2 linked regions of the Coturnix japonica genome follow. The main gene of each other region encodes a partner of the protein of the gene in region 2 in a complex. Links are inferred from orthologs where the notes say so. Each region holds a gene or a part of one and is shown on either strand. Other genes may lie near its edges. The genes, in order: KATNA1 and KATNB1.

Region 1 (4,539 bases), on a different chromosome or scaffold from region 2:
GTGTAGCCACGTGCAGGGCCATGCAGGAGGGATGGCACCTGCAGGGCTGGGTCTGGAAGCTCACTACTAGAGCCTGCACCACACAGCTCATTCTGCCCAGAGACCTGCTGAGCCTGCCACAGCCGCATCTGCAAACTGGGATGGTTCCCGTGACCAGCAACTACAAAGCCTGCCATGTCCCTGTGTGATTAGGCTCTGGAGACACAACTTGACTTGGGAGTATTGTTGCGTTTTTTAACCTCAGGAGAAAGAGCCTGAAGATATTTGTCAACACCTGCCTGGATCATCACACAGATGTTACCAAAGTTGTACTACTATATTTAGGAGCAAGCTTTTCCACCCGTGCTCATCCTACCAGATACACCTGTTTGCCTGTCCTGAGAATTCAAACCCATGACTAACACCTCTGAAATCACAAGTTGAGCAAGATACTAATAAACATTCTAAAAATCAAGTAACAGCAAGTTACCAGAGCCAAAACAGCCTTTCAAACACAGTGAGAAGCAGTACACAAACAGAATACTGCAGAGCGATCAGAGCAGAACAGCAATTCTGCTTGAATATCAGAGATGGGACACAGAGCGTAATAAAACAGTGCATGCGTTGGTTCATGTTGACTCACAAGAAGAGCAGAGGTTGGAGCAGCTCCCAGACACGTGCCTCCCGTGCAGGACAGCTGCTGGCTCAGCCCATGTCTGGACACGCTGTTGTGGCTTGCAGACAGCAGCACCAGAGTGGGTCCACTAATGCAAGCTCACAGCTTGCTGCAACTGCAGATGCTGAAGCGGCTTCAAGACAGGCAGGAGACGGAGTTAGAGCACTAATCTGAAAGCTGATTAAGGTTCGCAGCATGAAGCAGGCTGTGGCAGCTCACAGTACCATAGAAGATTCATGTGAGAGAGGTGTGAGCACACACAGACCCAGAGCTAAGCCAGACCTGAAGAAATTCAGGAAACAATTTGAGAAAAATAATCTAATTTGTAACCACTTAATTTGCAGAGTGTTTACAAATACCTGGTGCTGTCACGTAGCCGGATGTCAGAGCAGCAGGAACACACTTATCAGCTACAACCTTCCCGTGAATCACCCCCTGCAAAATTATCTACGTTCCAACAGCCACTGGAGGAGCAATGGGCTTGTAAAGCTCACCACACAACCAGCCTAAGAACTCGGACTTGTAGCTTAATTCCACGCATGTACACACACCACTCGCCCTCTCTGAACTGGCTGTAAACATTCTCAGTTCCCATAGACTGATACAAATGAAACTCGTCACGCCTTAACCCACCTCCAGTAACAAAACACATCCATACGTTTTATCATCTGCTCTAAGCACCTGAAATGTTCCTAAGGTCTGAAACTGTCAAGAGCGGTGTGGGAGGAATCATTTCCAGCAATAACTTTATGAAATTATCAAGAAGTACACAAAGTTCTTCACACTGGTACACAAGGATTTAGGGAGTCCAACATGATTTCAACAATGTTTCACAAAGAAATCCCACCGTACACGCACAAAGAGGAAAAAAAAGATCCGGAGCAGCCAGGAAGGAAGCACAAAGCCAAAGGCTGTCAGCTGCTGTGGGTCTCCCAACCCTCTGTCGATACAGAACAGCACAAGCCACACAAGGACTGTATTCCTGCAGAACCCTCTGGTCAGACTTATGCATCTGGCCTACACCAGCAGCAGGGTTGTGGCAGAGCTCACACTCCTGTTAGGCAGGCTCTGACACCACAGCAGCCATGTGAGACTCACAAAGTTCCCTCCATAAACGCAGAAAGGGGAAACCAGCAGTAAGAGCTCTCGGGAGCCAATTTATGTTCCTCATACACTGTCCCATAGGTGGGCCCACATACCTCTGAGATCCCTTCCAGATCTACTACCCCACTCCACAACGCACACTGTGAGCAGCTTCTGCTATCAACAAGTGCTCCTGCTGATTGCTTGAGAAACACGACTCTCGCTGGGTTTACCCACACTGACTGCTCCTCAAACACTGCGTTTAACAGTAGTGAGAGACAGCCGGCTGAAACACTGCACACTCCACAGAGGCAAAACCTCCTCGCGTACAGGGACAACGCTGTGTTTTCAATACTGAGCTTTTCATAAGACTCTGAAACAACCACGATACTTGCTCCCGTTTCACGAGACCAGCACTCCGAGACAACCAGAACCACGACAACGAACTTCTCAGCAAGAAGGAAACTTCTCAGCTGAAAGGAAAAGGCAACATGGAAATCTAAAATACATTCCAAAATAAATAAAGAAATAAATAAAAGGCAGGAGGTGGGGAGAAGTGAGCACAAAGCCAAATCCAGCTCCTCAGGCAGCCCCGGCCAGGAGCCCCGCGGGACACGCAGCGTCCCTCGGCCGCCCAAGGCACGGCAGCGAGGGGGAGCGGGGAGCACTTCGGGGTGCTCGTAGACGTCGCGACAACAACGACCGCGTTCTCCGCCGGTCCTTAGGCCGGAGGGCACAGCCGAAGCCCCGGCCCGACCCTCCGGCCCTACGCGCAGCCCCGGCCACGCGGCGGCAGGTGCCGGGCAGCCCTCACCTCGGGAAGGCGGCCCCGCGCGACGGCCGCCAGCGGAGGACGAGGACGGGGACGCTCCACGTTGGAGTGAACGCCGCGGGTCTCACCCGCACGGCCCACAGCCCGGCAGCAGCTCCCTCGTCCCTTCGCCTTCCTTCTCTCCTCCGGCTCGGTAACCCCGCCCAGCTCCGCCCGCCTCCTGCCGCCGCCGCCGGTTTGAAGGCAAATCCGCTGCGTCACTTCCAGGCGGTGCTACTCATCGGTATCGCGTTGGCACCCGATGAACATCGCTGTTTCAGAGTTACTGCTGGCTGAGAGGAGATTGCGGTGCTTTAAAAGGGGAAAAAAAAAAAAAAAAAAAAAAAAAAAGGAATTTAAAGTATAGATAACTTTAAAAAGCTTATTTGCATTGGCCGGGAATCGAACCCGGGCCTCCCGCGTGGCAGGCGAGAATTCTACCACTGAACCACCAATGCTTACGGGCTAAAAGACTCCGCGCTACCTCAGTTGAACAGCGCGAGAGCGGCGGGGCTGAGTGCGCGAGCTCTGACATGGCGCCGCCCCGCCGCGGCCGTTGGGGAACTCGCGCCGGCCGTTGGGGACCGCGGCTGAGAGGATTGCAGCGTCCATCCCACACACACCGCGTTCAACCTGGGACACAGCTGCCCCCCCATGAGCTGTTTATTTCAGTTTCAGTCCCTATTTCTTACTTGATTGTGCTGATTTATAAACGGACTGTTTATGTGAGCACAGAGCATACCTATTAATTGCATTGTGACTGCCTACAGCTCTTCAGATTGTCTTAAACGTGAAAGGAACAAAACATAAAAGCTGAAGTAGGGTGCATCACTTCAGAGTAGGAATATCTATGCATAATAAATAACGTTTTAATGATCATGATGGAAGTGGCAGCAGAATGCAGGGAAAGCACCAGCGAATTCAGCTCTTGAACAGCAAATTGGATGCTTTTGTGAACAGGTTACAAACACTTCTTTTATTCATCAGTAAATCTGTTGTAGTAGGGGGGGATTCTGGGGAGAGAAAATGGAAAGAAAGCAACAAAACAAACAACTGCATTTGGATGACTGCTGTGTACATTTCATCTGATTAACCAAAACGGAAAGCTGGTCTTCAGTGACTGTATTCTTGTACTTTTCACTACCCCAGAAGGTGTCACGCTACAGTAACTGCTTCTGAGAACAGAACCAGTTTCTAAACTCTGAATGAGTGTAATTGATTACTACAAGCTGACAGTTATACTGCCCACACGTTCTAGAAGTCTCCTGTTCTGCTGTAACTTTACATGAAGCGTAGTGTTGTGTCAATACAACCCCCTGCTCACAGCGCCCAGACTGGGGCTAGCAAGGTTCACTCATATAATAAATAATATGCTTGAGCAGAATTGTGCAGTGGTCTATGTATTTAATTGAAGATCCAAAGGAACTGTGACAATCAGAAGAATGTTTATAATACAAAAAAAGACATTATTTATATACACATATACACACAATATATCTATATATGTGCCTATATAGATATATATAAATCAGTAAACTTGAATAGTGCCTTTATCAAGAGCATCTTAAGGCATTCAAATGTTTGACTATCACATTGACCCAATTTAACATCTTTTTGCTTTGGCTGAACTAAAGCAAACATTAAAAGGTCTGATCTGAAATGCCAAAGACATCTGAAACCAATGCCTAACTGTATCTTCAGTGACAGCAGCAACTTCTAAGAACCCACCCACTGCACCGCCTATCAGCTAAACAATATTAAATGAAACTAAATCATTCCCACTCACAGCTTAGAGCTTTGCAACAGCAGAAGGCAAGTCAGCCTCAGTGGTGTCCTAGCCATATATTCTATAGAGTCTATTACAAACTGAGGATAGAAAAGATACAGCAAGAGGGCCTGCCCTAGGATAGAATGCCACTGAATATCAAATAGTATTTACAATACAGTATATGATTATAGAATATCTTATAAATACAATTTATATGTATAC
Region 2 (4,450 bases):
CCATAATGCAGTGTTATTTTGTTAATTAAACAAGACACTTGCTCTAGATACTTTTCTATAACACCCTCTTGAAGGAAAAGTGATACAGTACAGACAGCTGTTAAATGTGCTCTAGTGGTAACCCTACTCTTCCTAATGTGCTGTGCCCAGGATTATTCTTTTCCAGCCTACGGTCAAGTCAGTATTCAAAACTTTGTGCTGACAATGAGTGTCTGTGGGACAGTGGAAATGCATCCTGCCTGGGATGTTTCCTGCAAGGAGGACAAACTCCAAGATGCAAATTCGGCCCCTGTAGCTCACACTACAAGACAAGCTGACCTCATACAAAGCTATAATTGCCTGCAGCACAGTAACAGAAGGCTCCATATTCATTATCTGAGAAAATACTAGTTCTGTTGGAGCAGAGAGCCATCTCTGGTCCTCCTTGGAGCAGCAGCCTCACCAAATTCTGTCCCAATCTTTTGCCAGCATCTGGCCATCTGGCTTTGCATTGATAAACTCTATTCACAAGTCCCACAGGCTACAACCCAGCAATCTCCTCCCTCGTTCCCCACCCTCCCTGTCTCAGAATTAACGCTCTCCTCCCCAGGAAGTTGAAGCTGGCCTGCTCTCACCATGACGCAGTTGGGCTTGTTAACTGACCACACGTTGACCCGACAGTCATCTCCTCCAGTTGCCAGCAGCCGGCCCGAGCTCTTCCCCAGGACTAACGAGGACACGTTGCTGCTGTGAGCCACGATCTCTTCTGCAGAAAATGAAGCAGTCAGGATGGTCTGCATTAAGGACTTTCCACCCCATTCCTCCCAAAGAGATTAAAACAATTCTTGCTCCAGAAAGCCTTTCTGGTTTCCACTGGAAAAGTGGCAGCAGCATGCAACTCAGATAAGAAGTCACAGTATTATCTGGCTTCAAACAGTCCTCCTGGGCTCTGTCTGCTGTACTTAAGATGTTTGCTGGCCAGGCTTCCTAAAAGCATCTTCTCTCCCCAGCAGCAGTGCAGTAGCTTTTAAAGACTGCAGCAACCTGCTCACAGAGGCCGCTTTTCCTTCTGCACTGAGGTGGGTCTCAGTCAGCAGAGCTGCTTCAGAAGCTGCAATGATAAGCAGCAGTCACAGACTCCTAGAAAAGGCCTCTAACTAGGAGAGCTGTGTCCAACCCCAGAGGGACTCAGTTCAGTTTGTTACCTGACAGAGCAAAAAGCCAGACTCATCAGAGGGAGAAGTGGAGCTGTGCTTTGGCATAGGCTGTGCTAAAGTGAAATTCAGCAATTCAGCTTGCCACTGTGATAAAGGATGGGCATTTAAAGGGGCACAAAGAAGCAAACGTGGCTGATATGGAAAGATTGTTAAGAACTGAAGGGCTGATAGAAACACTAGAGTTCTAGGAAAGAAAGCCTTACAATACAAGCGTGTGGCAAAAGATAAGCCAAAGAAGCCCTTTTGCACAGACATCAATTTTTATAATGGATTTTAAAATCCACCCAAAATTTTGGCAGGAGCTTTTGGCAGATGTATTTATCAATTTCTTCCCTTGACTGCTCTCTGCTTTGAGAGTTTAATGCATTTGCAGGCCTAATAGGTATAAAACAGGAGGCTCAGGGGAGACCTCACTGCACTTTACAACTTCCTGAATGGAGGTTGTGATGAGGAGGGGTTTGGCCTCTTCACCAAGACAACAAACAGGACCCGAGGAAATGGCCACAAGTTGTACCAGATGAGGTTTAGATTAGACATAAGAAGGAACTTTTTCTCTCAGAGCGTGGTCAGGCACTGGAATGGCTGCCCAGGGAGGTGGTGGAGTCTCCATCCCTGGCAGTGTTCAAGAAGCATCTGGATGAGGAGCTGTGAGGGATGGCTTAGTGCCTTGTGGTAGCAATGGTGATCTTGTAGGTCCTTTCCAACCTTGTGATTCTATGAGGTTTGTTGTAAAAGGGCCATGCAGTAATCAACTCAGCTCTCCTTGGAGTTGCTCTGGTGGGAAGGGCGATGTGACTGTGTAAAGCACACCACTAACCCAAAGGGCCATCAGACAGCTGCAGCAGTAATTAAATCTGCTTTGATCTCAGGCTCCGAGTGTTTTTCTGAAAGCAAAACTGTGCAACTTTCACTTCAGCTGGAGGAACACCTTTGAAATTACACAGGTAAATGGGGCTGTAAATGAGATGAGCCAAGCTGAAAGTATGTGTGCTCTGTGTTGAAACCCCAATCCTCCTTAAGAAAACACTAAAGGATGTATATGTGCAAAGAACCAAAGGCAACAAGCAGCACAATTAGTACTGAGAGACCAACTCGCTTGTAAAAGAGGAAAGTACAGATGCTGAGCACTGCTGGTACCAATAGGAATGTACCAACACCTTGTGCTTTTCCTCCTCCTGGCTTCATTCTTTGTAATACAGCGATGTTTAAGTGTCACTGCTGAGGAACCAGCCCCTGTCTATAGGGCCGGGCTGTGGGCTCTCTCCTCATCCACAATGGCACTGAGCCCCCACGAGCACCATAAACACTTCAGAACACGCTGAGGGAGGGCACCACCAACTCATGGCTGAGGTACAGAAGGTTGATCTGCTGCTGGAGGTTCCCATCCCTGCGATTTCTGCACAGCAATCTGCTGTTCTGCCCCCGCTCAGTGGATGAGCGGCTCACTCCGGTGCCACCTCCCACCCCAGCCTCCAACCGGGCCCGGCTCCCCCCGCCCCCCGCCGCCACTCACGCAGCTTCCAGGCCGTCTTGGTGACGACGGCCGCTGCCATGTCCCGCCGCCTCCAGGCTCCACGCCTGGGCCTGTCTCGGGGCTCGACCCCTTCTCTGTCTCAGCACGGCCGCTCCGGGCCCCTCTCCGCCGCCGATCCCCGCGGTGCGGCCTGCGGGCCCCAGTGCGCTCCGGTGGGTTAGGCCTGGGCCGCCTCCACCCGGCACGACTCGCCTGGCAACCGGGCCCTGGCAACCGGCCCCCAAGCGCCAACCTGGGTCGCGCCACGCCCGCGCCCGGCTTCCACCAATCAGAGCCGCCCTTGCTCCTCCCGCCTGTCCCGCAAAGCCAGGGTTCTGTCAGGCGCTCGACCAATGGGAGACGAGGGATGGGAGGTTGCCATGCAAACTACAGAGCGGCTGACCATTCGCAGCGCGGCTTCTTGGAAAAGCCTTTCCAGCCTAGCCAATAAGGAGGCGCGGAGCTAGGTTGCTTCATGTCTGTGGGTGCTGAGGGGGGGTGTCATGGCGGCGCTCAGGTCAGGCCCGGGGGAGCGGCCCCACAGCCCGCAGCTCCATCGAGGGAGTCGCTGTGGTGTCAGACGCTGCACACAAAGGGAGGCAGCATCCTGCCATCAGCACCTGAATGCTGCCACCCTGTGCAAGGGTAACATGGTCCATTGAGTGACCTGTGATGTTTGGATTGAGCATTATGAGCTGCTTCTGCTTGGTGGCTTTCTGCAATGGGAACAGTGCAACACTGGCTTCTGTGTTTTAGTATCAGGGGATGATTATTAGCCAAGAAAGTGGATTGTTTAAGACAGTAGATGGTACAAGTTCATTAAAATCCTAGAGATAGATGCACAAAGACTTATAGCAGAACCTAATGAGAATGCAAGATTTCTTGCAGGCAAGTAGGAAAACCTCTTCTCCATTTTTAAGGCTGCTTTTAAAAGGCTTCAGCACCAATTTCCAGTGTCTGATCTGAAGGAATAAAGAAGCGATCAGGGGTGACCGAGGTGCTCTGCAATGCGAGGGTCATTGCGCAGTTTCTCCTCAAGAGCCAGGTACCGCTGTGGTGCTGTCTGCTTTTCCCTACAACAAGAAGGGGAATGATCAGAGGAAAGCTGCAGCAGGACGTGGAGTAGAATGGTTTACAGAACAGCTGCATTGCTCAGTGATAGGAATGCTGACTGGTACACCTCCCTGTTCCCCTGGGTGCTTTTCAAGTCATCATTCCCAGTACCTGTCGAGTCTTAGTGCTAGAATGTGGATACGAAACATGGTTTCAGAGTAACCAGCAAGGAATTCAGCCTCCTCCTCCTCACTGAGCTGATTCCGCTTTTCTTGAAACTGCTGGTTCTTCTTCTGCAGCTCTTCTACCTCCTGTTGAGAGAGTGGCAAGAAGTCAGGGTAATCAAAAGGAGAGTGAGGAGCACAGATAGGCAGAAGTGCAACTTGGAGTTCAGGGAGCCAAGATAGAGGAAACCACAAATAAGAGCTGCTTTATTTTCATAAGGTAGTGAGTCCGAGGTAAGATGAAAACAAGGGAATCTAAACACGTGGACCAGTGAGAGGCTGCAAGACCAGAATGCGTTGCTTCACTATAGTTAAGACACACTGGAGAACCAAATCAGTTCTGCTTGAAACAAGGACTAAATTTGACCCTGGAGCTATTCCATTCTTTGATCTCACATGTTCATGACAAAATGACACAGCTGTGTCTAGGGCTCCCTTAAAGGTAAAGGAGTTTTGTTTCCTGT

What was found.
Region 1: the proteins of KATNB1 (region 2) and KATNA1 are in contact, whole or in part, in a crystal structure (PDB 5OW5), measured with the Mus musculus proteins. The link is inferred for Coturnix japonica from reciprocal best matches to the Homo sapiens genes KATNB1 and KATNA1. Residues at the interface, in NP_083081.2 of Mus musculus: Leu485, Val486, Asp487, Glu488, Ala490, Met491, Gln493, Ile494, Arg495, Gly497, His498, Met501, Phe502, Val504, Leu505, Thr506, Arg508, His509, Leu512, Asp513, Val515, Arg516, Trp519, Thr521, Asp542, Leu543, Ile546, Gln549, Lys550, Leu553; in NP_035965.2 of Mus musculus: Leu5, Gln6, Ile8, Val9, Val12, Arg16, Ala19, Leu20, Leu21, Gly22, Tyr24, Tyr31, Tyr41, Leu50, Lys53, Trp54, Gln56, Val57, Glu60, Ile61, Val63, Glu64, Gln67, Val68, Asp70, Ile71, Thr74, Leu75, Ser77, Phe78.

The regions. Positions count from the first base shown.
Region 1 is NC_029518.1:43,364,780-43,369,318, forward strand, and holds the start of KATNA1 (katanin p60 ATPase-containing subunit A1), read right to left. Parts: upstream 3,099-4,539; 5' UTR 3,012-3,098; intron 3,008-3,011; exon of another isoform or gene 2,937-3,007; intron 2,862-2,936; 5' UTR 2,553-2,861; intron 789-2,552; 5' UTR 623-788; intron 1-622. UniProt on the Homo sapiens protein: Catalytic subunit of a complex which severs microtubules in an ATP-dependent manner. Microtubule severing may promote rapid reorganization of cellular microtubule arrays and the release of microtubules from the centrosome following nucleation.
Region 2 is NC_029526.1:1,954,091-1,958,540, reverse strand, and holds the start of KATNB1 (katanin p80 WD40 repeat-containing subunit B1), read right to left. Parts: upstream 2,988-4,450; 5' UTR 2,750-2,987; coding exon 2,710-2,749; intron 1,560-2,709; exon of another isoform or gene 746-1,559; coding exon 615-745; exon of another isoform or gene 590-614; intron 1-589. Other genes in the region: DRC7 (dynein regulatory complex subunit 7), read right to left, coding at 3,692-3,782, 3,934-4,073.